Bombyx mori: one gene and its partners. The protein of the gene in region 1 interacts with the protein of each later gene in a biochemical or structural test. Links are inferred from orthologs where the notes say so. Each region holds a gene or a part of one and is shown in the gene's direction. Other genes may lie near its edges. The genes, in order: general transcription factor IIE subunit 1, general transcription factor IIF subunit 1, Cdk7, general transcription factor IIF subunit 2, transcription initiation factor TFIID subunit 6, general transcription and DNA repair factor IIH helicase subunit XPB and transcription initiation factor IIB.

Region 1 (4,354 bases):
AATTAACTCTTTAACTCTACTATTCATCTAAGAATGTTATTCTGGAGTGGTATGTCTCGTGTTATCGGGAAGATTGCATATGTACCCATGATAAATACGCACTTAACAAGTATTCATAAACAACTTTGATATGGGAACTGCATCGTGTATTATGCATTTTATAAATTTGAATTATTACTGTGGATAGGTCGCGTATGAACCCACAGGGTTAGGAGCCCTTTTTTATCACCAAGCAATCATGTGTTTTGGTCTGAACGTTGACAAACGACTAGGTATATGTCGACGTGATTTGTAGTCGTTATTGGTGGTACCAGATGGACAGTGAACTCGTTCATCCATAAAAAATCAAATTAAAACATATTTTTCTAATATAACAAACCATGCGTTGGTTGGTAAAACACATCTCTTGTGTTTCTATGTCCATTTGAGCCTCCGACATCCCAAAGTTCTACGAAGAACGTGTTTTGGGCTTGTGTTCCTTCTTTGTATTTGTGTAATTTAACTTCCACAGAGCAACCGACCGTCCATCCCGGCGATAAAATGGGCTTATTGTGTGCTATCAAATGTGTTAAAGATGTTTTGCCCACACCTACAATTTAAATGCTTTATTATTTCGAAACCATAAAAAATATATCGATCTAATTAGATTACAATAATGGATCTGATGGCAAAACTCATTACGGAAATTCTGACAAAAATAAAATCTAAGTTCGTTATAAAATATAGTAATTATGTAATCTAAAGATACTAAATTAAATTTGTGTAGCTCGCGAGCGATTCGTTCCGATGAATCAAATTTTAATGAACTCATTCACATATTTTCATTATTTTCAGAATAGGTACTTTCTCTTACATTTTGCGAGTCGGTATACCTACTAGGTAACTAGACATTTCAATTAATTTTAGTTTGTGTTGTTTAGTTATCACATTATTATTATCAGTCTTAAGTCTGCCTGAAGTATGAAGAAATCGCAATTTTAATGAAATCGCTTCTGCTGTGATTGAAAAGGTTTCGATTCCGGAGTTGTAACCATGTGCAGTACGACTATACAGAATAGATTCCCCGTAAAGGAAGTACGGAACGATTTTAAGTAACCAGTGTGCTTAGTGCGAGTTTTTTAACGTTCTCGATAGCGTAAAAGTTAGCTAATATTTGTATGGGATGGGATCGTTTGCCTACGTTAGGGGCGCTATTCCAATTGCATACAAAATCGGGTTAATTTTTACGCTATCGAGAACGTTAAACTCGCACTAAGCACAAAGTTCACTCTACGGAACGAGATTTAGTGAACGAGTTCACTAACGTGAACGATTTAAGTCCCGATGTCTATTCTAGATATAGTACAAGCATATAAAATGGGGTGTGGGAAGTGGAAACAGAGCGCCAACTAGCTCTAGCACACCCTCTTTATAAAGTCTAACGTCAATATTACGTAGATGTCTATTCAAATGTAATAAAAGTTTTTCTGCCTACTATTATTTAAGAAAGTATATTAATGAATTAATTTATAATAATGTTATAATACGTTTTCGACTATGGATAATCACGAGATAAACTAAATTTTAATTTTTAAAACTTCAGATAAATTTAAAAACAATAAGTCAACTTTCTCATTATTGTAAACAAATATCGATATTATCGAATGTGACCACTACGTTCGCACCTATTTTTGTAATGTTGGCTATCATTAAGGTGTCATGGCGGAGCGTTATAATAAACGTATTGTTATTTTGTGAAATTCTATGTGCCTACTTGTATGTGCTATAATAAATGGACGACAACGAAATTAGAAGAAATAAGCATACCTGAATCACCGAGGACCACAACCTTCACTTTCTCAATCGCAGCCATTCATTGAAGAAATTGTCGGTAAGTGTTTGCAAATAAAAATGTTTGACAAATTCACAATGTCAGTATTGTCTATGTCTAATCCACCATCTTCATACCTTCAGTACTACCAACTAACGATACGCGATTATGAATTTCCAATCGAATTATTCGACTTACTACATCATTCGATTAGGAATATTTCAATTGGGGCGAACTTACAAAAAAAAGGTAAAAGGTAACGTTACGTTTTATACGTTTAATTCTGCTCCGAACTTGCGTTTAAATTAAGCGTATATACTGAAAATAGACAATGCACCGCGCGCTACAACATCCACAACTTACCGCAAAAAGAAACGCGAATTTAAGACATACAAGAAAATATTTAAAACCAAACTTTCGAAAGTAAAAAAGTCCAAATTAAAAGTCCCAATGAAATGTAAAATCAATAATTAGTAACAATGTCTGACACTAAAGAAAGCCGACAAAAAGTTGAAAATCATTAGTTTTCAATTAAAATAAGTCACTACTACTACTAGTCTATTTGTCATTCCATTATCAGTACATACTTAGTATTAATACTAATATTTATGTCGACCGCATCTGTACTGTGTCCGAAGTTGTATATTTATGAGAGACAATAGAATAGAGATAAAGGAGACGGAAAATCGTGGGCCAAAAATGTAATAACTTGGAATGTAGTCTAAAAAATTTGTCATATTTTTTTATATAAGAATATAAAAAATCACCTCAATCCTCTTTCTGGGACCGGAGAAAAATGAGAAAGTTAGTTTTTGTCGGTATAACGGTGTGATCGATTTAATTAATCGATTACAGGATTATAAAAAGAAAAACATTGCACTAGGTAGTTAAAGCAAAGTAATTAAATGAACGATTTATACTTGTTGTATACAAGTACGGTATACGCCGGATTTAATTGCGATTATATACATAAATGAAGAAAAAGTCTATTATTACTTAACAAAGTAATATGATTATCGATTTCAAATCGATTAAAATCGATTGTATTTTTGATGACAGCTTTGACAGTAAGCTGACATGACGTTTGTTCATAGATTATACAATTATTTTTTGGCGCTTGTTGGTTTTTTCTGCTTTACTCGTTTTGTATTTTCGACGCATTTTGAGTGTGTATCTATCGGGCTGTTTTTATATTTTCAACGATCACTGCTTTATTATTACGGATTCCAACTCTGCCAGCCTTGTACGACAATTGCTTCTACACTGGACACCGAAGATCGCTCACACGTTTGACTTGAAATTGTTGCATTGGATACTGTAGAAATTATGGATCGCTGTGTGAATTGTGGGATAGCAATTCCATATTCCATACCTAATATATATCATTGATATTCACTCTTATTATGACATTTAAATGATTATCCAATGGATATAATAAACATTTACTTATGCTTAAATAAGTTATTATTCAGCTCTTTTAAAGAGATTGTAACATAACCTTGCTTAAATAAGTTATTATTCAGCTCTTTTAAAGAGATTGTAACATAACCTTGCTTAAATAAGTTATTATTCAGCTCTTTTAAAGAGATTGTAACATAACCTAACTTTTACTAAATCTTTATTAACTCGGCTCTCAGATTGAGAAAACTTTTATAATTTTCAGCAAGGTACTGATAAATCTGAATCTATTAATTCATATTAGTTTCATCACGTTACATTCGGGCCCAAAAATGTATGTAATCGTTTCAGTCTCCTTTGATAGAGTCGAGTTACTACTAACCTGAAGTTATGAACTGCTAAGTAAGCCTGTTTTTATTAAATCTCATTGGGTTTATGAAAAACGGTTTATAAAACATACATATCTAATTAATTATCAATTAAATTTTTTTAGACAACGTCACTTTACTCTGAAATCAGCGTGTTCATTTTAGTTTTTTTTTATTCACTCGTCGAATAAAATAAGTAGAAGTAAAGGTTCATTTTCGGTACAATTTTAAATCATACCGTATTTTAATTTACGCGACATGAGACGGCTTCACGACGGATATAGGCAGAGTAGGTCCTACCCGTGTGGGTTCACAAGACGCCCTTCTATCTGTAAATAAGTAACTTCTAATTTTTGCGTATTTGATTTTTATTAGATGTTCTTATTCCGTCACCGTGAAAGTAATTCGTGAATATTTTTCAAGTAGGTACGCATATCACCGGAATGCACCGGGCGTCTTAGTTCTTTACGCCACGAAGACTTCAAATTTTAATACAATAATGATTTTATGTCTTGTGACCAACAATTTATTTCAATAGAAAAACATAAATATATAACTAAATTAAACAGATTAACCTATAAATGTATACCACTATCACTGAATAGGTGTCTATTCAAAGTTCAAGTAGTATATGTCAAAATTTTGCTTGAAGTCGAGCGAACGCGAACATTGGTTGGACTAGGAAGTCAGAGCTTACGAAAATTTACAATCATAAAATCGATACGATACAGACATAACTTTATACACTGTCCGCCATTGTATAACTTTTGTCTTTTGA
Region 2 (4,477 bases), on another chromosome or scaffold:
CTATCAAAATCACTCATCATCATTCTATACCTATTTCTGCCACAAAGTATGCATTCCAGTTTTAAGGGTTAAAGAAGTAATTCAACTTGATGTCTCAGTTAGTAATGCTATTCATGTTGTAATGTCTAAATTCAGTAATAACTTAACACTGGATGGACTATAAAATTACAGATACACCAATTTATGTATTTTCTTTATCCATCATGATACTTTACCTAATATTGTAATATCTCTAAAAATGAAATTGATACCTTTTGTCCGTTGTGGTATTCTCCACCAAACAGCACAAGCTCATTATTGATTGGATGTGGGGTGAGCGTTGCGTACGCTCTGGAGGATGGTGGCTTTTCGAGGACCTTCTCTGATGCAGCATATCGTTTAGCTTCCTCCCGTTCTATCTCAGCTATCACTTTAGCTATATCTTCCTGAAATATACATAATACAAAACTTCTATTAAAATTTTACTTGCTCTTTCTTCAGCTTTAGTTTAGTGACAAAATGACTTTTATTATCATTTACGTCATATCATAGAAGTAGTTTTTGTTATTATATTATCTCCAAATAATTAAAGCTAGATTAAATCATAAAAATATAAATTATTTCGAATTATTTAATTTTATGTTTTTCATGACTTTTACAAAATTTACCCATTTAAATAATTTTAGTAAGTTAGTTTCAATAACATTTAAGTTTATACTACTATATTAGATCCATTAGGGCGTAATTTCAGGTAACTTTTTGAGAGTTTCTAATAAATAGTGCGAAAAGGCATGGTCTAACCTCACCAAGATTTGCGAGTTCTTTTTTTAATTTGCTAGCTAGCTTTTTTTCAGTTTTTGCTGCGGTTTTAACAGCGCCACTAACTTTATTCTTATTTTTCTTTTTACCCATTTTAATGAAAAATAAATTAACTTAAATTTCTAAATATTTTATGAAACAGATTTTTAAGTATTGTGATTATTATTGTAAACAGTTTTTTTTTTCTTTTTTCATTGGCAATGGGAATACAGCCAAAATAATCAAAGCCATATCTGTTTTATGATTATAACTTTTAGGATGGAAGGGCTTGATAGAACATTTGATCCTACAAATACATTCTTACTGAGTTCAAGATTCCGTTCAAATTTTGAGTTCTTTGGACACATTGTCAGAAAGAAGATGACAATTTAGAATAATTGCTGGTAACAGGCAAAGTATGCGGAAGAAGGTTCAGAAGCAGAAGTCCAATGCTATGATTGCACTAGCTGCCTCTACTCTCAACACCTCAGTCCACGATGCCCTCCGGAAAGTCAAGGATAGGCAATGTTGGCGCAGGATAGTCCAAGCGAAATTATTATGGGACGCCATGACCCTCATTGTTGTGGATTATCGACGCAAAGAGGAGGTGACTAACCTTGTGGGTAATTTCTAATGCTGGACGACAATATGCTAAGCTGCTGTAAACATTTGATAAGATTGCTTTTTCGTCACGTATGAAAAAAATGTTTTAAATCCTAATGACTATTGCATGTTTATTAAAATAATAGAAGTCATGAGCATAGTTAAATGATAATATTATTTAGTCATATATGACTTGATACTTATGATCATAAATTCATTGACAGACTGAAATGTGCTCTGTGCTTGATGAAATTTTGACTTTTGACATTAATTTGACAGAATTTTCATTTTGCCAGCACAGTTTGCGATTAGCATTGTTTTAATTGATTACAATATTTTTAATCAAAGAGTAAACTGTAACGTAATAAATTATTTGATTTGAAGAAATTTAACGTGTACGTTAGTGAGATCATGATATCGAGGACTATTGTCATTTGATAAATTTATATACCGTCATTAATCTTGATATTATAGATATAAGTGTAAAAAATGTCTACACCTGGAAGTAGTACGGTAAGATATTATTCGTTCTTAAACGAAAAAGGTGAAATATCGTGATACGATATTTCACCTTTTTCGTTTAAGAACTTAAAACAATCAACAAATTGTGAGGTTCAAAATAATATTAAATTAATATGCAAGAATATGTGTTCTTACTGAAGTAAGTAGGTACATAAAAGGATAATATAACCAAATTTGATAAATTTTACCAAATCATACATAGAATGGTATCGTAATCATTTAAACAATAGTTACGATTTCACAGATATAATAAATTAATTTCTCAGACACCGGCCGCCACAGTACAGGAGTATAAAATAAGAGTGCCAAAGAATGTAAAGAAGAAGTATCATGTTATGAGGTTCAATGCCACATTGAATGTAGATTTTGCAAAATGGACTCATGTCAAGATGGAGCGAGAGAACAACAGCAAAGAATTCAAAGGAGCTGAAGAGGAAATGCCCAAGTTAGTATTAAGAAAATTCAACTCTTTGATGGTGATATCAAATAGATTGACTTAATAATCATAAATTAATTTTCTACATCATTAAAAATAAATGTGAAAAGTATGTCATAATTTTATGGCATAATTATTTAATATTAAGTTAATTCTGTAACTCAAAAAATTTGCATGCTAGCAGATAATAATACAAAGAATAGTCAAAAACTGGAAACCGGTTGGTTAACATTGTTGACACTAAAGACTGACACACCTTAAATTAAGGTTATTTACTCAATGCTTTAAAAAATAGATTTGCCATGAACACCCTTTATAAAAAGTGATCTTAACAGCTCCAAGATTATTGAATACTTGGGAATTAAAATACTACTACTATTACGTAATATTTTTGGTAATACTCGTCACACAAATCCAGATTTGGTGCAGGCTCGGAATACGGACGGGACATGCGTGAGGAAGCACGTCGCAAGAAATTCGGTATAATATCAAGAAAGTACAAACCGGAAGACCAGCCGTGGATCCTGAAAGTCGGTGGAAAGACCGGCAAGAAGTTAGTAATTAACAAATAACAATAACCTCTTCTGATATTGTTTGGTGGTTCCTTTACAACAAATGCACAAGAAATAATTTAATTTCACATGAGTTGGAACAATTTTTACACAACAAAAGATTTATCAGAATCGTTTAACCTAGAAAAAGTTCGAAGATAAAAATAAAATAAATAAAATTAAATCAGAACTTCTTCCTTTTTCATTAAAAGTCAATGATTGAAAACAGGATGAAAAACTGCATATAATTAAATGAAAAGTCTTGTGTTATAGACTAACGTGTGGTTATGCCTATTTGCTTGCTCTATATAATACTAATTAATATGTAACTGGTAATTTTCATATCATGTATTATCATATTTTTAGATTCAAAGGTATTCGTGAAGGTGGAGTATCAGAGAATGCTGCATATTATGTGTTCACTCACGCAGCGGATGGCGCAATAGACGCCTATCCACTCCAGGAATGGTACGGAATGTTCATGCAATATTTACAAAACATGAAAGAAATGCTTCTATTTTATTTAAAAATAATCTGAATGCTGTGTGTGAATCTCTGTTCCTTTATTATTATTTTGTGTTATTAATGTTCTTTTTTAATTGCTCAAATATAGTAGAAAAATGAAGGTAGTTAATTCTTAAGAAACTAAAAACTGAATTCTAACAGGTACAATTTCCAACCGATTCAGAGATACAAAGCGCTGTCAGCTGAAGAAGCCGAACAGGAATTTGGCAGGTAAGATGGTCCATGACATTTTTTTTATTTTTTTTTATTTGCTTAGATGGGTGGACGAGCTCACAGCCCACCTGGTGTTAATTGGTTACTGGAGCCCATAGACATCCACAACGTAACCACCGACCTTGAGATATAAGTTCTAAGGTCTCAAGTATAGTTACAATGGCTGCCCCACCCTTCAAACCGAAACGCATTACTGCTTCACGGCAGAAATAGTCAGGGTGGTGGTACCCACCCGCGCGGACTCACAAGAGGTCCTACCACCAGTAAAATTACTTGTAAATCATTTACTCATATTTTATACAGACTGTCATTCCCGAAAATGAAGGTGCTTTGTAATTATCCTAAATCCTTTGACGATAATGATCTAGAGCTTAAATGATTGTTTTTCGCACTGCATGTAACGATAAATATAATATAGGAAAAAAAAAACCAGATCATAATAGATAGTTGAACTTAAAATTAAAATATATTTTTTTATTGTTGTCTGCATATTTGAAGAATTGAGTACTTATGCTTTATCTAAATAGAAAAAAGACAAAACACTTTATTACATCTCTGTTTCAGGGCAACAGACTATTGTTATAAAACTAATAATTTGAAAAAAAAAGTTTATTTTTTGTACATTAAAGATATACGAGAATGATTACAATAACTTTATTGTTTGAATTATTTGAAAATTTATTGCTTTTTGGTCTCCGTCGCCCCGTATATAGTATATGAGAAAGATGGTTGGACCGAATCCATTGCTGTTTCTAGTGACATTTCAAAATATGTTTCATTGAAGTCGATGATCGATTTTTTTCTGCACTAGGCGTAACAAGGTTATGAATTTCTTCTCGTTGATGTTACG
Region 3 (3,840 bases), on another chromosome or scaffold:
TTCGTAAAAACTCTGACCGGTAAGACCATCACTTTGGAAGTAGAAGCTTCGGACACAATCGAGAATGTGAAGGCGAAGATCCAAGACAAAGAAGGAATTCCTCCTGATCAACAGCGTCTCATCTTTGCTGGCAAGCAGCTGGAAGACGGACGCACCTTGTCAGACTACAACATTCAAAAAGAATCCACACTCCATCTTGTACTGCGTCTTCGTGGAGGCATGCAGATCTTCGTGAAAACTCTGACCGGTAAGACCATCACTTTGGAAGTAGAAGCTTCGGACACAATCGAGAATGTGAAGGCGAAGATCCAAGACAAAGAAGGAATTCCTCCTGATCAACAGCGTCTCATCTTTGCTGGCAAGCAGCTGGAAGACGGACGCACCTTGTCAGACTACAATATTCAAAAGGAATCTACACTCCATTTAGTGTTACGTCTACGAGGAGGAATGTAATTTCACATACAATCTGTTTTAAAAAAATAAAAAATATACATAGTCAAGCTTACAAGTTCTTTTATTCTCTATTCCATTCTCCCTCAACAAAGTAAAAAAAGTAGAAGACTTATGAGGTCTTAAATAAACTAGGATTTAACTTTGATAATTATGAAGTATTGATTCGTTTCTAAGGCGCCATTTGTAATGACGCCTAGCGTAGATTGCTAGTAAGCTTTGGTTATATATCCATAAGTGGATTGCACGAAGCTGGCATCTGATAAGTTTTAACTGCAACTGCCGTTTTACTGAAGCTGGCCATTTTCGTCTAACCTTTGTATGTCTATAGTTAGTGTGTTTTCTAAATTGATACAGAAATGTCCGTTTGAAGAACTTGAATTATTTTTATTGAATTGATACAGAAATGTCTGAAGAACTAGAATGATTGTTATGTGACCCTTTGCGGTAGGTAGCGGCTTGGCTCTGCCCCTGGTATTGCTGAAATCCATGGGCGACGGTAACCACTCACCATCCGGTGGGCCGTATGCTCGTCTGCCTACAAGGGTAATAAATAAAAAAAAGAAGCTATTGCTACTGATGACAATAGCCAAAGCGCAATTCACTATATTCGAAAAATTGCCCGTGGCCCTTGAACTGCTGCATTTCCCGCTGGATCTTATTAGGTCCAGTACCTAATAAGATGCCAGTTGCGATGCCAATTCAGTGGTAGATTCACCCGAAAAACAGCTACTCTTATGGTCTTAGCTGAGTCCTAATGGGTGCGCTCGAGCAGTTGTTAGCAAATTTCAGACAAATCAACTTCTCTACTCTTTTGTTAGCTTGGTAACGGTTATTTGTTCGTATGTAACGGAATCTTTAATCTAATTAATTTTCATCATCTTCGAGACATCGGCCTAACATGAAAATTTGTACACGCATTGAGGACCGATTACAATACAAGATTTTTTATCTTCGCTTTAATATCTTGACCAGCATCAACAGGATAAAAAATGCTGAATATGATTATTAATTCGGTTTGCTATTTAAGCGTGTTTTTGAAGTTATACTTCTTTAGGCGCGTTATGAAGAATTGATGAGAGTTATATTTTACGATGCGCGCGCACCGTGACACAAAATTAACAGAATGAAGTTGCCCACTAAATCGCTCATTACAATACGACCGACGTAACTTGGTGAGTCTGAATATAGTCGCAGGTGAACTTTCCGAACCGTACCGAGAATTACCGAATTTATACCATGTCAAGAAAAGGGATGTCCAATAAGCGTGTTTGAGGATGTTGTTTAATCGTTTTTTTTTCAAATTGTTTAAAATTTAAATAATAAAAAAAAAGAAATAAATTTTATAAAAATAAAGTATAACTTCTTACGCGCGTACATAAGTACACGCACCCTTTTTTAATTTAATAATATTATTTTCGGCGTTTCCTATTTTTTATAGTTTTCGTGTATATTCGTTTATATGTGTATTTTCGTTTATAGTATTAGTCAGGTTCATCTGTATCTTTAATTATGTCTTCTTCTCACGAAATTTGAAAAAAATACTAAAAAGTAATTCATTACTAATAATTGAAGAGCCAACACTGCAGTATGAAACCTTGAGACAGCCAATAATAAGGTTGACGCTGGTAGCAAGGCTATCATAAGAAGCCGATTGCCATATTGAAAAACAACGAGAGAAAACAGCATTGACTTTAAAGACTACAATCCAGGCCTTAAATAAAAAAAAGTTATGACAATTAAAAAATTCAAAATATTCAAATCAAACCACTCATTCTTGACAGTACCTGTGCAGTTCTTTAGAAGAAATAATAATAAATTTCCGAATGCTTCATACAATATCCTATCAATATTATAATTTAAACTATTTCTACTTCACAGGGTGTGGTAAACAATGAATAATTTTGCTTTTAAAATTGTATGAACGTGGAATTAATAATTATTTGATCATGGAAGAACCAACTTTACGATATGAAAAAATTGACTTTTTGGGCGAAGGACAGGTAAATAAAATAAGGAGTTTAGTAGGTAGCAATGATAAAGACTATTAATACATACTAGGTCATTTATAACCTCAAAATAAAACTACTAAACTAATACAATCCACCACAAATTTCAGTTTGCAACTGTGTACAAAGCAAAGGATGCAAAAACAGACAAAATTGTTGCTGTGAAGAAAATTAAGATAGGATCACGTCTCGAAGCTCAAGACGGAATTAATAGAACTGCTCTTAGAGAAATTAAACTGTTACAGGAACTGCAGCATATAAATCTAATTGGATTATTGGGTATGTATTGTAGGAAGGATTGTATGAGATCGTAGATAGCTTATCTTCTTCAATTTTAATCTGATTAATTGTAAAGATGACAGGATGTAGCTTAGAAAGTAAACATCATTTATTTACACCCATTTTATTCAAATAGTCAAAATCAAGCAGCGAGGAAGATACAATTTCCTAACCTACAGTCGTGAACTATTAGTTCAGAATAATACCACCCTAGAAGTGAGCTTTGGGTGTTGTAATAGGTGACTAATCACCAGAAAAAGAGGAGCTGCATTCTCTAAGTATTCAACCAGAATACGACCATCATTAAATGGTCATTCATCAGGCCTCATATGTTCAACTGTTGTCTATTTCGGCCATTATGTGTTCTTCTTTGAATGGTAGGACAGAAGTAATACGATTGAGATTTAGAACACTTAAAGTGGACAGTAGTATACACATTGAGATGACAAACTCAAAATAAAACTATTATAAAATTACTATTTACTTTAATATCTTAAAAATTCTTAACCTACAATTATTGGCTTTGCAGATGTATTCGGACAGAAATCAAATGTGTCGCTGGTGTTTGACTTTATGGATACAGACTTAGAAATAATAATAAAGGACAATACTATTGTACTTACCCCAGCTAATGTTAAGGCATACATGATAATGACTTTGAAAGGTAAGTTTACATACAAATGTATTTTTTAAAACCTACAAATTTACTGTAGGCCAAGCTTAAAGCCAGCTTACCCTATTTTAAATTTCATATTTGTAATTTACAAATGTTTTGTGAAAAAGTTCTAAGTTTAAATTCATTGTCAGTTAAGATTTTGTTTTATTTTATAAGTGTTTGTTACTTTATAATAAGTTGTTTAACATTGGGACATAAATTCTTGCATCTGTTTGAATCTTCTAGTACCTATGTAAGATGACTCTGCATGTCACTTTTTTGTAGTGTCAAACACAGCATTGGCAAATTAATTTTTTTTGTTAATTTATTGGGTCTAGGAAACTTGTATGTGTTTTGTATTGAATTTTAAAGGTACTACTTTAAATATTTATTAATATTAAATTGCTATTTAAGATTTGGGAAAAATAAAGGAACCGTCCCAAATTA
Region 4 (4,402 bases), on another chromosome or scaffold:
GTAATCCCTATTTACCCGGAAATTGCGGTTAATTGGGACGAAATGAGAAATTTGCTAGGGTTGGCACTACTTGGTTTTAATTTATTTGTTTTATTTACTTATGATTAATTTATATTTACTTGGGAAATGATCCACGACAGATTTGTCCTGTAAGTTGTGAGACAATTAAAAAAAACATCTATTTTATCACTTAAAATTAGTTCAGCGCAATCGGACAACTCCGAATGAACATTGACGGAGACCACGCTACCGTGGACATTATTGTAGTCCCAAAGGATTCTGTATATGGGAGAGTAAGCACCTAAATTCGAACGAGTGAGCTTTCTTATAAACGGTTTATATTTCTTCGGTCTTGGTAAGTACTTAGGGGCTGATATTTTTATCTGGGTTAAGAGATTAGTTATGTCGGTTATTCCATGGATTAATCAGATGAATACCCCCACTCTGAACAAATATTAAATATTTTATAATGTATTACTTAGACATTTTTGTCCACCTCGAGATTTCATTGTTCTTGTTACATGTCTGTGCAAAATCGACTTACTTATATTAAATTGCTTGGCTATTTCAAGTAAAGACTTATTCCCAATTTCATAGGCTTCTATTGCTGTTTTTAATATTAAGGGATCATATCTCTTATAAGGCTTTGCACTCTTTGATACGTAAACGCGAGGCATATCTAAAAATAGAAAACAATACGTAACTGATAATATATTTACCAAACAATAAAATAACACATTGATAATTTTAAATAAAAGTTCTAGACAAAGACATCATGAATAAACCAGATTTTTACCAACAAATTTAAAAAATATTGTTATAACTACATAGACAACCCTACAAACCTGTACCTATTTATACTTAGGTGGTTTCCATTTCACGTATTCTCATCCCAATTGACCCCTTTTTCGTTGTTATTTGTACCTAAGACGTCCCTAATATCCCCCAAAACAACAGATTTTTACATGTATTTTTATTTTATCAAATACATTAAAACCAATAACAACTGAGACTTACCTTTAATATATATGATGGTTCAAACACTAAATAACGTTTATAAATCACAGTCGTCTTCTATTATTATCAAATAAATAAAAGAGAGCAAAGTTTCTAGCACTAAAATAATTTCCAACACAGGAAGTTAATTTGAAACGCGATTTTTTATAAGTTAGCAGCTATTATCATGCATATTCAGAGTTTTTTTGTGAACTTTCAACATTCTACTATTAAACTACAAAAAATGGAAGATTTTGCAACGAATATAAAACTAATATTGTGCGTCGCAAGATTTTCCCGGTTTTTTCCCGATTCGCCTCTCAATCCCTAATCGCCCCATTTTACGGTATTTATTATATTAATCTGTGGTTAAGCTGTCACCATAGATTATACACTTAATATTTTCGAGAGCTGTCACTTATGTAGGTCTTTTGTGGAAGTGCAAGTAAATTTTCTAAGATTTAGTTATAGTTAAAGGAAATCTTTACGACTTTAGTACTTTTAAAGGCCGTTAAAATAGTGTCCGCTATCGACTGCTAATAGATTTTATATTCCACAACAATGACCGAATTGGACTTATCAAATACTGGTAGAGGAGTATGGTTGGTAAAAGTACCTAAATATATAGCAAACAAATGGGAAAAAGCTCCTGGAAACATTGAGGTAGGAAAACTAAAGATCTCCAGAGTACCAGGAACGAGAGCTAAAGTGCAGTTATCCTTGTCAGAAGCAGTGCTATGTTTAAAGGACCCTGGTGAACAAAGCATACCAAAAGAACATAAGCTTGATGTTTCAAACGTTAATACTCAATCTCTAGGTGTATTTTCGCATATTGCCCGTAAGTAGTCTCATAATTATCTATATTTAACGCCTCCTAACATGTCCTGGTGAACTCAATGATAAAATTAATTTCATGTCTAAAGTTCGATATTATATTAATCGTGTTTATTCATAATATAACCATTTTAGCGACAAATACGGACTCTGTAGTACCAGAGACAGAAAACCTTTACATGGAGGGTAGGATTGTACAGAAATTGGAATGCAGACCAAATGATGATGTGACATACTATAAGCTTAAATCTGAATCAATAAAGAAAGCATCCATGCCTCAGCGACAAGTGCAACAGCTTGACAGGATTGTTCAGAACTTCAAACCAGTATCTGACCATCCACATAATGTATGTTTACTGTTGAAATCTAAAGGATTGATTTACTGTATTTTTCAGCAACTGATCATTAAAACATGCCCCTGACTGCATTGGAAGTCAAACTAGAGATGATTAAAAAGTTTTAAATAGAGCATGTGTAGAGCTCTGAGATCTCCAGATGCAGTTCAATACTCTTTGGATATGTTGTTGAATGAAATGCTTCATATAAATTCTACTAGAAGTATTAAAATACAGGTTGCAGCAATGTCTGCTCCCATTGTATAGCAAAGTTATCATTTAGACAAACTCGAAAATAAAAACATGATTGATCAATATAAAAAATTATAAATTGTGTAGTTATTGATAGCTACTTATCTGATAACAGTCCTCCATAGGTTAGGAATTAATGGGACATAAGTAGTGATTGATATAATTGGAATGGTGGAACGGTAAATAGGGAATGTTTAGTAGCTTGGGATGGCCAAGACTGTAAAATTTGCATCTTGAGCTGGTATAAAATACAATAGGTACTTCCACCTTTTATCTGAAGATGGGTGGGCATTCATATATGTGTGGTATTGGTACAGATAGTAGGGTGTGTGTAGATATTGCTCCTGCTTATGTTTACAGCAAATCATTGTGTGCTTAGTGTGAGTTTTTAACTTCTTGATCAAACGGCCGTCTGGTGTAGTGGTAAGTGACATGGTCACTACACAAGGAGGTCGCGGGTTCGAATCCCGCCAAGGTAAGATATTTGTATGATAAATGTAAATGTCTTTCCAGGGTTATGGGTGTACATTAAATATATGTATGTGTATAATAAAATATTATATTTATTTCCGTTATCTGGTACTTGTAACACAAGTTCTTTACGAACTTAGCACGGGACCAGTTAACGTGGCGTGATTGTTAGTAAATATTTATATTTATATTTATTTATATTTAAAAAATAACTCAAATTTGTATGAAGTTGGAATAGCGCCCCTGCGTTTGCTTCTTGGGGTGCTGTTCCAACTCTGATCGAGAAGTTAAAAAGTTCACACTAAGCACATTGGTTTGAAGGAAAACCTCATACAATAGAATTGAGATTTCGACTTCTCAAGGTTTTTGGTGCTATTCATGTTATGATGACTAGTGAGGTAACCACTTTACACTGGGTGGACCACGGGGTTCTTCACTCATCTATATAGTAAATTAAATTATAAACATCAGTAAATAAAAACAAATGGCTCTGTATATTTTTACTTTCTATGAGCTCTTAAACCAACCAGAAAACTTTTCACAAGTGACACAATGAATAACAACAGGTTTTAAAATTTCTTAAGTTGTTTTACTTTTTGTATTCTATTAAGTTTATTTCATTTCATTATGTTAATCATGCTTTTTTTAATTTTGTATATTAAAATTTCGTAAAATATTTAGATTGACTACCAAGAAAGGAAGAAGGCTGAAGGGAAAAAGGCTCGTGATGATAAAGAAGCAGTGCTCAATATGCTGTTTGCAGCATTTGAGAAACATCAGTATTACAATATTAAGGATCTTCAAAAGGTAATAAATACTATTCTGATGATTTTATATTTGTCTAAACATAAAATTATTAACACATTATTAAGCAAAAAATTTAATCATTGTCTTAATAAAAAAAATAAAGGCCAAAAGAAACTGTTTCACTGTATATATTATATTCTAATTTTGATAATACTGTTCATACTTTGAAACTGAGAATAGTAGTGACTTTGAATTTAAAATTAGATGTTCATAAAAAAAAACACATCTAATTGCATTTTTTTTTATTGCTTTGATGAATGGACGAGCTCACAGCCCACCTGATGTTAAGTGGTTACTGGAGCCCATAGACATCTACAACGTAAATGCGCCACCCACCTCGAGATATAAGTTCTAAGGTCTCAGTATAGTTACAACGCCTACCCCACCCTTCGAACCGAAACGCATTACTGCTTCACGGCGGAAATAGGCGGGGTGGTGGTACCTACCCGTGTGGACTCCCAAGAGGTCCTAGTGAATTATGTAATTATTTTTTCATTAAATCATTATAATAATAGACATAACGATTTAAGTATATTATTTATTGTAATTTCAGATCACCAGACAGCCAATAGTATATTTGAAAGAAATTCTGAAAGAGGTCTGTAATTACAATTTAAGAAATCCTCACAAGAATATGTGGGAGTTAAAACCAGAATATAGGCATTACAAACAAGATGTTCCTGTTGAAACAAAGGAGGATAAGAACA
Region 5 (3,840 bases), on another chromosome or scaffold:
AGGAGAACCATTTAAAGCTTAAAATTTGGAAAAAATATCATAAAAAAAACTTCTTGAGCTATTTGAATGGAGTAAAGCTAATTAATTGAAGTTCATTAAAACCGAACATAATACAAGATTACAACAATACACCGAATTACAAAGATAAATGTCACGAATACACCGAATTACAAAGATAAAATTAAATGTGTCGCGTATTAAACGAAATGTCGCTTAAACGACGAATAAAACGATACTGCTTAATAAAAATAAGGCGGTGCATGCCCACTAATACGTCTTGACACTCGTTTCGCAGTTGCACATCATAAAATTGGAGGTTTAGATTTTATGATCATAGAGGAGACCAATATTATTCCTGCACTGTAGGATTCATTCGTAAACACGTCTTAGATGCGTATTTTCTAGACAAAATGTTATCTGTCCAATCTAGACCATGGCATAAGAGTCCATAGGCCATTCTCTCTACGGCCACGCTTCAATATTTGATACTCATACATGTCTATAGGTAATTGCAGATTTAATAAGTAAATTGTATTGTTTGGGCAGTTACACGAGTTGATTCCGTCCGTGTCGACATGCATAGTATCACGACAGCTGTGCCTTCGTCCCGAGATGGATAACCACTGGGCCCTGCGAGATTTCGCCGCGCGACTCATGGCTCAGATATGCAAAACATTCAATACTTCAACCAATAATCTACAAACGAGAGTCACCAGGTATTTTAATTTGAATAAATTTTAAAGTCACACAATGTATCTGGTAGTTACTATACGAAAATTCTTTGCGCTCAGGTTGTTCGCGAAAGCCCTCCAGTGCCCTTCACAAACAAACAACGAAACGGGTCCTTCTATGGCGAGCATGAAGGAATCGGAGAAGACTCCTCTCGCGTCGCTGTATGGAGCCGTGCAAGGATTGGCAGAGCTGGGCCCCGAAGTCGTTAAAGTGAGTAATCTGTGTGCTTAGTGCGAGTTTTTTAACGTTTTCGATAGCGTGAAAGTTAGCCCAATTTTGTATGCAGTTGGAACAGCGCCCCTAGTGGCAAACGTATGCAAAAGATCCCATTCTGTACGAATATAAGCTAACTTTTACGCCATCGAGAACGTTAAAAAACTCGCACTAAGCACACTGACGCCGTCACGCAGCGCCCTCTACATAGGCGCGTTAAACATTGTCGTGCGTGAATTAACTTATGCACGCCGGGTTTTTAGTTGAATTTGATGGCTGTGTACCGGCGGCCCAGACACGTAGGCGCAGTGTTGGATTTACACTAGGGGCAGTCGGGGCAAGTGCCCAGGCCGGCATATTTTTTAGGGCGGCAAAATTTTTAGTTTTTTTTTTTTAGTTTTATCAAGATTGCTCAATATAATTAATTAATTCTAATAATTAATAATTTCCTTTTTAATTGATAATTCAAGAAATTCAATTCATCCATTATTTGTCAATTATAATTTTGGCACTTTTGGTAAAAATTAATAATCAAAATGGTTTAATCAATTTATTTCCTTGGAGATTTAAAATAATAATCGATTTTTCTATTTTCTATAATTAAAGAAATATAATTAGTTATTTTTTTTGATGAAATATAATTATGAGTCACCCTTAGTCAAAATTTGTAATTGTTAGAAAAAAATATATATATTTATTTATGTTTTTGAAATATATGACATATGATAAAGTTTCCGCAATAAATTAGTCATCCTAATTTTGAAAAATAAAATATATAAATTATAAATTTAGGTAAAATTACAGTATTGGCACGGTTTTTTTTTATTGTTTAGATGGGTGGACGAGTTCACAGCCCACCTGGTGTTAAGTGGTTACTGGAGCCCATAAACATCTACAACGTACATGCGCCCCCCACCTTGAGATATAAGTTCTAAGATCTCAGTATAGTTACAACGGCTGCCCCACCCTTCAAACCGAAACGCATGACTGCTTCACGGCAGAATAGACAGGGCGGTGGTACCTACCCGCGCGGACTCACAAGAGGTCCTACCAGCAGATTTTTTTCCGGTACCGAGGAGCAGTATTATGTTTCAATCCGACCCTGCGTAGGCGTGATAATCTGGCGATTCATGTTAGATCTGGTAAGATGACGCCTTTTTTACAGGTGTTCATTCTGCCGCGCGTGCGTTGGTTGGGAGAGCGCGTGGAGGGCGCGCTGAGCGGTATCGGTGGCGCGGACCGACTGGCGGCCGGCAACCTCAAGCACCAGCTGCTGAAAGTCCTGGCCCCTGTCGTCCGACAACTGCGGCAACCGCCCGACCAACCCGAAGACTACAAGTCAGTCACGTCTTATACACGAATCGTCCTGTTGATTTCCTATTGAACTTTTTATTACTCATGTCCGGTCAGTGATTGTCGATATTCGCGCATATTTATTGACACCTAAAAATTTAGATTAATTTTATATACCTAGGTACAGTACCAGGCAATAAATATTGCACATCGATATTTAGAAAGAGACTGTCGTCTAATTTTGTTATTATTGTAGAGCGTTATCTGTGTGCGATGAAACACCAACGATCCCGTATCTATGGAGATTAAATGTCAATTAGGTAATGTGCGACACATATAACGCTCTACAAAGCAAAAATTAACCATCTCTTTCCCACGGTCGATGTGCAATATTTATCGCCGGGTACTGTATAACATTTTCTTTATTTCTTATTGACGTTTAGAAAATAAACAATGTCAAAAAAAATGTCTAAAGATCTTCAATAGCTAATGAACAAAAAGAATATCAATGATCAAACACAGAAGAAATTTTTTTTCTTCTATAAATTGGCAATATTTTTATATAGATTACCGTAGCATTATTTTTTCGCTACATGGGCCGTTTTCCAATTACAGCACAAGAGCGCATTATGCGGCATAATGCTCAACTAAGCTTCAGCATAATTCGGCATTGTGCGTCACTGAGTCGCATTATGCTCTGTAATTGGAAAACTACCATTAAGTAATGGTTAATTGCCGAATTATGCTGAAGCATAGTTGAGCATTATGCCGCATAATGCGCTCTTTTGCTGTAATTAGAAAACGGCCATGGTTTCTGCTATCCGTCTGAGCATAGGTACCAGTTGATACAGGTATGTTATCAGACCATCAGCTAACCACTTTCCACTACATTTACCTTTAGTCAGTATGCTGAATGGTGTTTATTTTGTAACTCAATCACATTGTGGACCTCGAAAAATGAACTAGAAATGTATCATACACTGTTCTTGATGAAGAATTACTATCGCAACCTTTCGGTTTTGATTTTACTTGTGATGATTCCATATAATGTCATTATAAGAATTGAATATATATTATCATGGGTGGGCCCGGCAATTGTCTTGTCCTGATAATAATAATAAAGCCTTAACGGGTCCAATTGTAATTGGAAATTGTCCAGGGACCCCCTTTTGCGATGCAAAAATAATCATAAGAATCGGGCCAGCAGAATCCCGGCATACATACCCTCTTATTCCAAAAATAACATAGATTGCGATTGGAATGCTACCCTATGTAATGTTTTTTTTTCATGAAAGCCACATTTAAAATTACGTTAATTTTTAGTCCAAAAATAGCCAAGTGAAATGATTAAATATCTATGAACATTTTTTTATATCAGATTTACATAGATAAATTACATACAAAGACATACATTATATTATAGATATATCAGATCTAAATCAGATTCAAGTATACTGTTTTATTCAAGTTCGCAAATAAACAAGTTTTTATTTAAAAGCTTTAAAAATACTTCTATAATATTTTAGTGATTTTTACTTCTGTCCATGTCATACTTAAAACTCCTATTAAAGTCGTTAATCGTATATTTATTTTAACTAGAGG
Region 6 (3,500 bases), on another chromosome or scaffold:
TACGCGGCAGTTTCGGTGGGCCTACAGACCAATGACATTATTGAGTACCTGCAGAGACTGAGCAAGTGTGCTGTACCGGCCGGCATCGTAGAGTTCATTAAACTATGTACCCTCTCTTATGGTAAAGTGAAGCTGGTGTTAAAACATAACAGGTCAGTTCTGCTTCATTGCTTGTCATCCATCTAAAATAAAATTAAGCTAGGTAAGGCTAATCATTTTATTTTTCGATCACGATTTTTAGTAGCTTCTCAGATGAGCTGGTGAAAAACATGTTCGTACCGGTATAAGGACTTCAATGCTCCCTGTGCTGTGTAGCATATGTATTATGGGGACGACTCTGAGGAATTTTTTGCCTAGGAGTGTGCCACCGAATTTACTAATATTCATTGCATAAATAGCGACCACCCTCCTGATGCTAATAGCAAAATATGCCTTCACAAAGTTCATTAAAAGCTGTTTATTCAGAGCCAGAAAGAAGAGTATTTAAACAGTTAGAGTTTTTTTATTATTTATTACCCTTATAGGCAGACGAGCATACGGCCCACCTGATGGTGAGTGGTTACCGTCGCTCATGGACTTCAGCAATGCCAGGGGCAGAGCCAAGCCGCTGCCTACCGTATATAAAAACGTAGTACAAGAATACTGTTTGTAATAATATAAAGTTTGCAGGTATCTAGTCGAGAGTAAGCACGTGGAGGTACTGCAGAAGCTATTGAAAGATCCAGTGATTCAACAGTGCAGGCTGCGACGCGACGGCGACGAGGATCTGCTGTCCAACGACCTGCCCGCCAAGCCAGCCACGTCCCTCGCCAAACCAGGTGACGTATGCCTCAGCAAGACGCGGCGTCGAAGCGTAATACTTAGAGTTGGTTTCCTGTAAGCGGTCGCGGTTTTAACATCGAACGAATGGTACCTAGTGATCGCCTTTGACTATTTTGCAAACAAAGGGTTTATCTAAATTGGAAACAATTAACATAGAGCAACAAAACTTCCATCAAGTGATATGTCCCAATATTTTTGATTAGTATAGATATACATAAACACGAAATGTTTATAAAACATTCTTTTAGGTTTTGTTAGATTTAACAAAAAAATAACAATTCAGATACTCTCTTAACTTATAGAGTGACGCCGGAGGTTGTTTTCAAGTCATAATAACTAAAATGTTATGTGTGATTTGAATAAACAGGACTAGTCATATAGTGGAAAAATAGCATAGTGTGCATTACAGTGGAAAGTCGTCGTGGCCTAAAGGATAAGACGTCCAGTGCATTCGTACCTAGCGATGCAACGGTGTTCGAATCCCGCAGGCGGGTACCAATTTTTCTAATGAAATACGTACTTAACAAATGTTCACGATTGACTTCCACGGCAAAGGAATAACATCTTGTAGTAAAAATTAAACCCGCAAAATTATAATTTTCGTAATTAATGGTGGTAAAATAAATAAAAAATTGTTACGTTACAAATATTTGCTTTTTTTATTGCTTAGGTGGGTGGACGAGCCCAGAGTTCATAGACATCTACAATATAAATACCGTCACCCACCTTGAGATATGAGTAAGGTCTCAGTATAGTTACAGCCGCCCCACTCTTGAAACCGAAACGCATTACTGCTTCACGACGGAAATAGGCAGGGTGATAGTACCTACCCGTGCGGACTCACAATACGTCCTACCACCAATTACTTATTTGCCTATTTACATATTACTGATTGTGTTGCCGAATTTTAAAACGATGACGTACCATTTGTAAGAAGCAATTTGTGTATGTTTCTGTAGTGACCTATAAAACTTATCCTTAAAATAATCTCGTAACTGTCTGTCCATCTGCGTCTTAAGTTTACTTGACTGCTTCTCAAACGATCAGGTGAAGAAAAACCACCGGCGGCGAACGGCGCTGTGCCCGACGACATCAGTCAGTTCTATCAGCAACTAGATAAGGATGACGACGAGGAGGAGACCTCTGGTGTTACTGCCAACGCAGCTGTTGCCTTTGAAGTGGATCCTGACAAAATCGAAGTGAGTGTGCCAATGAATATTAATCCTATTGAAAATTTTAGCAACCCATACATTTTTTTTATTGCTTATATGGGTGGACGGGCTCACAGCCCACCTGGTGTTAAGTGGTTACTGGAGCCCATAGACATCTACAACGTTAATGCGCCACCCACCTTGAGATATAAGTTCTAAGGTCTCAAGTATAGTTACAACGGCTGCCCCACCCTTCAAACCGAAACGCATTACTGCTTCACGGCAGAAATAGGCAGGGTGGTGGTACCTACCCGCGCGGACTCACAAGAGGTCCTACCGTAGCATCGGTCACCACTTTCGTCGAACCCGTCGCTTGCGACGAAGGGCTCGGCGAGTAAACTTACCCACCGACCCAGCCCACTGAGTTTCTCAGTAGGTCGCGTTTCCGATCCGGTGGTAGATTCTGCGAAGCACGGCTCTTGCTAGGGCTAATGTTAGCAACGTCGTCAGGTTTAAGCCCCGTGAGCTCACCTACTTGTTAAGGCTACGCTGAAATGGTCTCTCAAGACCATCAAGCTTAGATAGGGAAAAAATAATAAAAAAAGGTATTTAAAACATACTGTGTGTTCAAAAAAAAAAAAAAAAATTGTTTTATAAACCATTTTGTTTTAAGGTAATACAAAAACGTTGTATCGAGTTGGAGCATCCATTGCTGGCTGAGTACGACTTCCGGAACGACTCCATCAATCCGGACATCAACATTGATCTTAAACCAACTGCCGTTTTGCGACCTTATCAAGAGAAGAGCTTGAGGAAAATGTTCGGCAACGGCAGGGCGAGGTGAATAGCCATTGCTTTGTTTGGTTCTGACAAAATTAGTCTATTCAGTCACAGGAATACAGCAAGGCAGTGATTTTTGACACGATGACATCATGCATTGCACGCTGACTAACATAGGCAATTGATGGAATCGAAGCTCGGGGTCGGGTGAGAAACGCATTACTGCTTCACGGCTGAAATAGGCGGGTGGTGGTACCCACCCGCCCGGACTCAAGAGGTCCTACCACCAATTACTTATTTGCCTGTTTACATATTACTGATTGTGTTGCCGAATTTTAAAACGATAATTTTTATAACACGATGTTATTCCTTCACCGTGGAAGTCAATCGTGAACTTTTGTGAAGTACTTATTTCATTAGAAAAATTGGTATCCGCCTGCGGGATTCGAACACCGGTGCATCGCTCGACACGAATGCACCGGACGTCTTATCCTTTAGGCCACGACGACTCAGTAATGCACGGCACTTCCTGTATGTACCAGGTCAGGCGTGATAGTGTTGCCGTGCGGCGCCGGCAAGTCGCTGGTGGGCGTGACGGCGGTGTGCACGGTGCGCAAGCGCGCCCTCGTGCTCTGCAACTCCGGCGTCTCCGTGGAACAGTGGAAGCAACAGTTCAAGTGCTGGTCCACGGCGGACGACAGCATGATCTGCAGGTCACTGACCCCATTATTTTAACCGACTTAAGGC
Region 7 (4,574 bases), on another chromosome or scaffold:
CTACCCATCCCTAATTAGGGGTAAAGTATTTATAATGAAAGCATGCACGGGACCATCCTACTCGTTTGTGCTGCCAATTATTAGTGTAATTTGGTATCTGGTAAATAAGATAGTATTACAATATTATTGGATCGGGCACAAGTACGCTCATCGGCGGTGCATGTCCAGAGATCTTTTTTGGCACGTATCTTCTGACTGCGAAATGAACTCTCCTTCACCGTGCTTCACGAGCCCCATGACTTCATTCTTCAAACTAGCCTTATGGAGAGTACTTACCGGTAAGCATCGACTTGGTTGTGGTTCTGACATTGCTGATGTCCATGAGCGACGTCAATAACTGACCACCAGGTGGCCTTATGCTCGTCCGTCTGCAAAAGCCATAAAAAATGCAAAGTTTATAGGTAATGAAAACTCTGATTCCGGTGGAGAGTAATATAGCGACATCTATCGGCCATGCCGTGAAAACCGGAGGCTTTTCTGATTGTTGTGTGAGCACCGGTATTTCCGGTATTGTTTAATGAGTGTATTGTTATAAAATTATGTATACATTTGGAAAAGTGCATAAATGTTGAGAAATGAATTAAAATAGCCAAACATAGTTCCTCGAGTTTTTTCAAAAAGTTCACATAAGTCTCAGTAAATTCCTTTTACTGGAACCTTTTTATTTTTCATTTTATATCGATTCATTTCATTTAATTTTATTCAGTTTTATCCAGGCTGATGATACAATTCCAGAGAATTCAAATTCATTTCATTCCGCCCCATTTCATTTTTTATTTAGGTACCAAAATTTAAATTTTAATATAAAAATTACTTTGTGCATGTATGTATGTATTTATTAATCATTTATGATTATTATACATTGACATAAGCTCGACGCTGGGTTCATAAGGGGGATCCCATCATTGGGATCGCAAGAGGATAATGATTGATTGCCATACTGAAAAAAAGATAAGAAGTCAGGTAGTTAAAAAACCGAGATAGGGAATTTAAATTACTTCGTATTTGCATAATTATTTCTAAAGAAGATAGAAATTTAATAAGATGTAATTAAAAAAATTATATCTAAGAGCGCTCCGCGCTATCGCTATCGCGATTTATAACACCTAGACAGAAATGAAGTTTCTGTGTAAGCCCGAAAGTATTTTAAAATATTTGTGATATTAGGGGAAACGATAGTCCAAACAGCTTTCTTAGAAGAAATTATTTCATATGGGGTCCCACATGAAATAATTTGATACTTGAGAACTCCGGCCCATGGAGCCTTGCTCCACGCGAGACTGATCATATTAATTACAGAACTATATAATATCATGGACCTGTCTTTGATCATGCGTAATCTACTATTTCATACTGTTGAATATCCCTTGCATTTGAGAAACCAAGTTGGCATGGCAGCACTACTAGCAGTTAAACTAATAATTTCCTACATTAAATTTAGAACAACCACATTATTATCAAAGTAATTCACTAATAAAGTACGATACTTGGGGAAAAACTAGACACAAGCGCTGCTTCACTTTAATAATGTTTACTCATTTTTGTGCATGATTTAATACCCTTTACTATGTCACATGCCTGTCAAGATCAAAGAATAAAACAAAACTGTGTTTATGGTATTCAAATTGACAACGACATTAAAAAAATATTTGGAGTATTGTCTATGTTTTCTGACCACCATGGCGAGTACATCGAGGTCTGTTTTTCTGTGTTATTTTATTTATATTAGCTTTAAACCGAGACTTAGTTCATTTATACAAAGCCGATAAGCAATACGATAGATATTCGTGATGAGTAAGTTGGTGATAGTACTTAAGTGGTGTTTAAAATCGCGTTAAAATAGCATACGATTTCTACTTGTTAGATTGTGAACCTACTTTTGTTTGTGTTTTTAGAATTGAGGCGAATAAAGTGGTTTGCTATGCTCACCCTGATGCGCCCCTTATCGAGGATTACAGAGCGGGTGATATGATATGTTCTGAATGCGGTTTGGTGGTCGGAGACAGGTAAGTTAGTACCTTTATTTGCGAAACAAAACGTTGGAACGCGCGCGCTATTCTACTGTCATGTCGTAACAACAACTTCAATAGCGACGCATTTGATTTCTATATTTCGAGGTCGGTATATAATCAATTTGTACTGTGAATATCATTCACATTAATGTTACGGGAATTCTTTAAGAATATTATGAAGTTCACGGAGGCTAAGTGAACTTTCTGAAGTAACAGTGAACAGAATATTTAATACACAAAACGCATTTTTCGTGCTTTGAAAAATTTTGGAGTTGATACATAAAAATGACAAAAGAAACATTCTAAATTGCTACATTCTTAGTAAAAAAATTCTTACCTTGCAGAGTCATAGACGTCGGTTCGGAGTGGCGTACTTTTAGCAATGAGAAGTCTGGAGTAGATCCGTCTCGTGTTGGTGGTCCTGAAAACCCACTTTTATCTGGAGGTGATTTGTCAACTATCATTGGGCCAGGACGAGGAGATGCATCATTTGACAGCTTTGGAGTTTCCAAATATCAAAATAGAAGAAACATAAGCAGCACAGATAGAGCCTTAATCAATGCATTCCGAGAAATCAACACAATGGCGGATAGAATTAATCTTCCAAAAACTATTGTGGACAGAGCAAACAATCTTTTTAAACAGGTAAATTTAGTACTCTAGTATCCAAACATCTAAATATGTTACTCTTTTGTGCCATAAAATAGTATTATCCCATCTTTCCCATAGCTATCCTAAATCAACCAAGAGATTCAGCATTCTGTCGATATGGCATCATATTGAGATTGCCAACAGAAAAACTTGTTATTTTTTATGAATTGATCGTTTATTTTATTATTTTTATTATTTATTTATGTTATGTACTGATTCTTGCATATTAATGTATATTGGCTAAGTTAACATTTAAGTCGTTCTCTGTTGGTTGATGCAGAAAAGAAAGTATGTGCATTGATTGTTATACTATATTTACTATGTATAAACTAAGTATGTTTATTAGACAAACCTAGGATTACATAACAATATCTATATTTTAATACATACATACATAGAGTATTATAATACATAAATATGAAAATGTTTCACATCTCATTTGAGATTAAGCACTTTTGTATGTGTTCTCTCTTTTAAGCTGGTGAATTCAAATGAATAGCACCTCAAATTCTAAAGGTTTTTTTTTATTTTTCAATACAATACCTATTTGGAAGCAGAAATGTTCAAGACAATTCAATAGTCACACTAAAATTTGAAAGGATAACAAAAAAAAAACCTCTAATAAAAGTAGAATTTAATTTTCTTAGGTAAAATTCCTACTAGGTTGAATTTTAAAAATTAGATTTTTCATTGCATTGCATTCCATCATATTGCAGGTTCACGACGGTAAAAACTTGAAGGGTCGTGCCAATGATGCTATAGCTTCAGCTTGCCTCTACATTGCTTGTCGTCAAGAAGGTGTGCCACGTACATTTAAAGAGATCTGTGCCGTCAGCAAGATAAGTAAAAAAGAAATAGGAAGGTGTTTCAAATTGATTCTGAAAGCACTGGAGACTTCAGTTGATCTCATTACAACAGCAGATTTTATGTCTCGGTTTTGCTCGAATTTGGGTCTGCCAAATTCAGTGCAACGCGCAGCTACACATATCGCAAGGAAAGCTGGAGAGCTGGACATAGTGTCTGGAAGAAGTCCTATTTCAGTTGCTGCAGCTGCCATTTATATGGCTTCACAGGTATATTAATAAATTTATTACTATTCTACTATAACCTATTCTTCATCATTGTAGGCTTAAGGAATTAATGACAATAATGAAATATTTAATTCAATTTGTAATTGACATTTTAATATCCTCAATATTGAAAACATGATTGCTTCATGTCATAAATGGGCAGGATTCCTACTGTAAATATGCAAATTGACACAATTTTGTGTATTTGATTTTTATCAAGCATTGTACATCCCCTTTATTGTGGAAGTCACTCGTGACCACATGTTTATATAGATATTATATACATTTTATTACTATTTCAGGCATCAGAAGACAAACGCAGTCAGAAAGAGATCGGCGATATTGCTGGTGTTGCGGACGTTACGATCCGACAGTCTTACAAATTGATGTATCCATCCGCAGCAAGACTGTTCCCTGAAGATTTCAAATTCGCAACTCCTATTGAATTCCTACCACAGATGTAGACTACATGTTTTTGTACTATTAGAATTGCTTTAAAATGTATGTGAGCAGTCTGAAAAATCTTGTAAGTTTTCTTAATGTTATAGTTTGTTAATATGTCCTAACTGGATGACTCTTCTTGAGAAGAATTCTCATAAAGATATGCCCCCTTAAATAAGTATGTTATTCACATATTTTATACTGATCAGTTAGATCACTAATGATACTGTCATAATATGAATAATAATATGTCATACTCATCCTTGTCTACCTTCTTAATGAGGTAATTCAGTGTATTGATTACAGGAGTATATATACCGATAATGAGTGATACAAATACTATTCCAACATTGGCTGCAGAACTGCAAAGATATTTTCTAGAATTCGAGCTAATAAGAAT

Evidence for each region.
Region 2: the proteins of general transcription factor IIE subunit 1 (region 1) and general transcription factor IIF subunit 1 form a complex in vitro, tested with the Homo sapiens proteins (3 studies listed by BioGRID). The link is inferred for Bombyx mori from reciprocal best matches to the Homo sapiens genes GTF2E1 and GTF2F1.
Region 3: of the proteins of general transcription factor IIE subunit 1 (region 1) and Cdk7, one has a biochemical effect on the other in vitro, tested with the Homo sapiens proteins (3 studies listed by BioGRID, with this or other methods). The link is inferred for Bombyx mori from reciprocal best matches to the Homo sapiens genes GTF2E1 and CDK7.
Region 4: the proteins of general transcription factor IIE subunit 1 (region 1) and general transcription factor IIF subunit 2 form a complex in vitro, tested with the Homo sapiens proteins (2 studies listed by BioGRID). The link is inferred for Bombyx mori from reciprocal best matches to the Homo sapiens genes GTF2E1 and GTF2F2.
Region 5: the proteins of general transcription factor IIE subunit 1 (region 1) and transcription initiation factor TFIID subunit 6 form a complex in vitro, tested with the Homo sapiens proteins (2 studies listed by BioGRID). The link is inferred for Bombyx mori from reciprocal best matches to the Homo sapiens genes GTF2E1 and TAF6.
Region 6: the proteins of general transcription factor IIE subunit 1 (region 1) and general transcription and DNA repair factor IIH helicase subunit XPB form a complex in vitro, tested with the Homo sapiens proteins (2 studies listed by BioGRID). The link is inferred for Bombyx mori from reciprocal best matches to the Homo sapiens genes GTF2E1 and ERCC3.
Region 7: the proteins of general transcription factor IIE subunit 1 (region 1) and transcription initiation factor IIB form a complex in vitro, tested with the Homo sapiens proteins (2 studies listed by BioGRID). The link is inferred for Bombyx mori from reciprocal best matches to the Homo sapiens genes GTF2E1 and GTF2B.

Annotation. Positions count from the first base shown.
Region 1 is NC_085128.1:9,617,600-9,621,953, forward strand, and holds the start of general transcription factor IIE subunit 1, read left to right. Parts: upstream 1-1,409; 5' UTR 1,410-1,806; coding exon of another isoform or gene 1,807-1,852; 5' UTR 1,853-1,870; exon of another isoform or gene 1,871-1,966; intron 1,967-4,354. Other genes in the region: rab-like protein 3, read right to left, coding at 380-589, 1,807-1,852.
Region 2 is NC_085121.1:15,715,032-15,719,508, reverse strand, and holds the start of general transcription factor IIF subunit 1, read left to right. Parts: upstream 1-1,609; 5' UTR 1,610-1,869; coding exon 1,870-1,893; intron 1,894-2,168; coding exon 2,169-2,347; intron 2,348-2,756; coding exon 2,757-2,891; intron 2,892-3,255; coding exon 3,256-3,357; intron 3,358-3,555; coding exon 3,556-3,624; intron 3,625-4,438; coding exon 4,439-4,477. Other genes in the region: kelch domain-containing protein 4, read right to left, coding at 252-425, 781-891. UniProt on the Homo sapiens protein: TFIIF is a general transcription initiation factor that binds to RNA polymerase II and helps to recruit it to the initiation complex in collaboration with TFIIB. It promotes transcription elongation.
Region 3 is NC_085127.1:9,219,235-9,223,074, forward strand, and holds part of Cdk7 (cyclin dependent kinase 7), read left to right. Parts: intron 1-506; exon of another isoform or gene 507-883; intron 884-2,331; 5' UTR 2,332-2,399; coding exon 2,400-2,453; intron 2,454-2,569; coding exon 2,570-2,738; intron 2,739-3,267; coding exon 3,268-3,402; intron 3,403-3,840. UniProt on the Homo sapiens protein: Serine/threonine kinase involved in cell cycle control and in RNA polymerase II-mediated RNA transcription. Cyclin-dependent kinases (CDKs) are activated by the binding to a cyclin and mediate the progression through the cell cycle.
Region 4 is NC_085110.1:12,711,979-12,716,380, reverse strand, and holds the start of general transcription factor IIF subunit 2, read left to right. Parts: upstream 1-1,365; 5' UTR 1,366-1,557; coding exon 1,558-1,834; intron 1,835-1,965; coding exon 1,966-2,177; intron 2,178-3,569; coding exon 3,570-3,695; intron 3,696-4,248; coding exon 4,249-4,402. UniProt on the Homo sapiens protein: TFIIF is a general transcription initiation factor that binds to RNA polymerase II and helps to recruit it to the initiation complex in collaboration with TFIIB.
Region 5 is NC_085121.1:11,006,880-11,010,719, reverse strand, and holds part of transcription initiation factor TFIID subunit 6, read left to right. Parts: intron 1-546; coding exon 547-716; intron 717-791; coding exon 792-942; intron 943-2,110; coding exon 2,111-2,283; intron 2,284-3,840. UniProt on the Homo sapiens protein: The TFIID basal transcription factor complex plays a major role in the initiation of RNA polymerase II (Pol II)-dependent transcription.
Region 6 is NC_085117.1:11,798,180-11,801,679, reverse strand, and holds part of general transcription and DNA repair factor IIH helicase subunit XPB, read left to right. Parts: coding exon 1-152; intron 153-669; coding exon 670-818; intron 819-1,869; coding exon 1,870-2,021; intron 2,022-2,646; coding exon 2,647-2,813; intron 2,814-3,295; coding exon 3,296-3,466; intron 3,467-3,500. UniProt on the Homo sapiens protein: ATP-dependent 3'-5' DNA helicase/translocase. Binds dsDNA rather than ssDNA, unzipping it in a translocase rather than classical helicase activity. Component of the general transcription and DNA repair factor IIH (TFIIH) core complex.
Region 7 is NC_085110.1:3,773,051-3,777,624, reverse strand, and holds the start of transcription initiation factor IIB, read left to right. Parts: upstream 1-1,537; 5' UTR 1,538-1,613; coding exon 1,614-1,696; intron 1,697-1,895; coding exon 1,896-2,006; intron 2,007-2,356; coding exon 2,357-2,657; intron 2,658-3,379; coding exon 3,380-3,736; intron 3,737-4,035; coding exon 4,036-4,197; 3' UTR 4,198-4,574. UniProt on the Homo sapiens protein: General transcription factor that plays a role in transcription initiation by RNA polymerase II (Pol II). Involved in the pre-initiation complex (PIC) formation and Pol II recruitment at promoter DNA.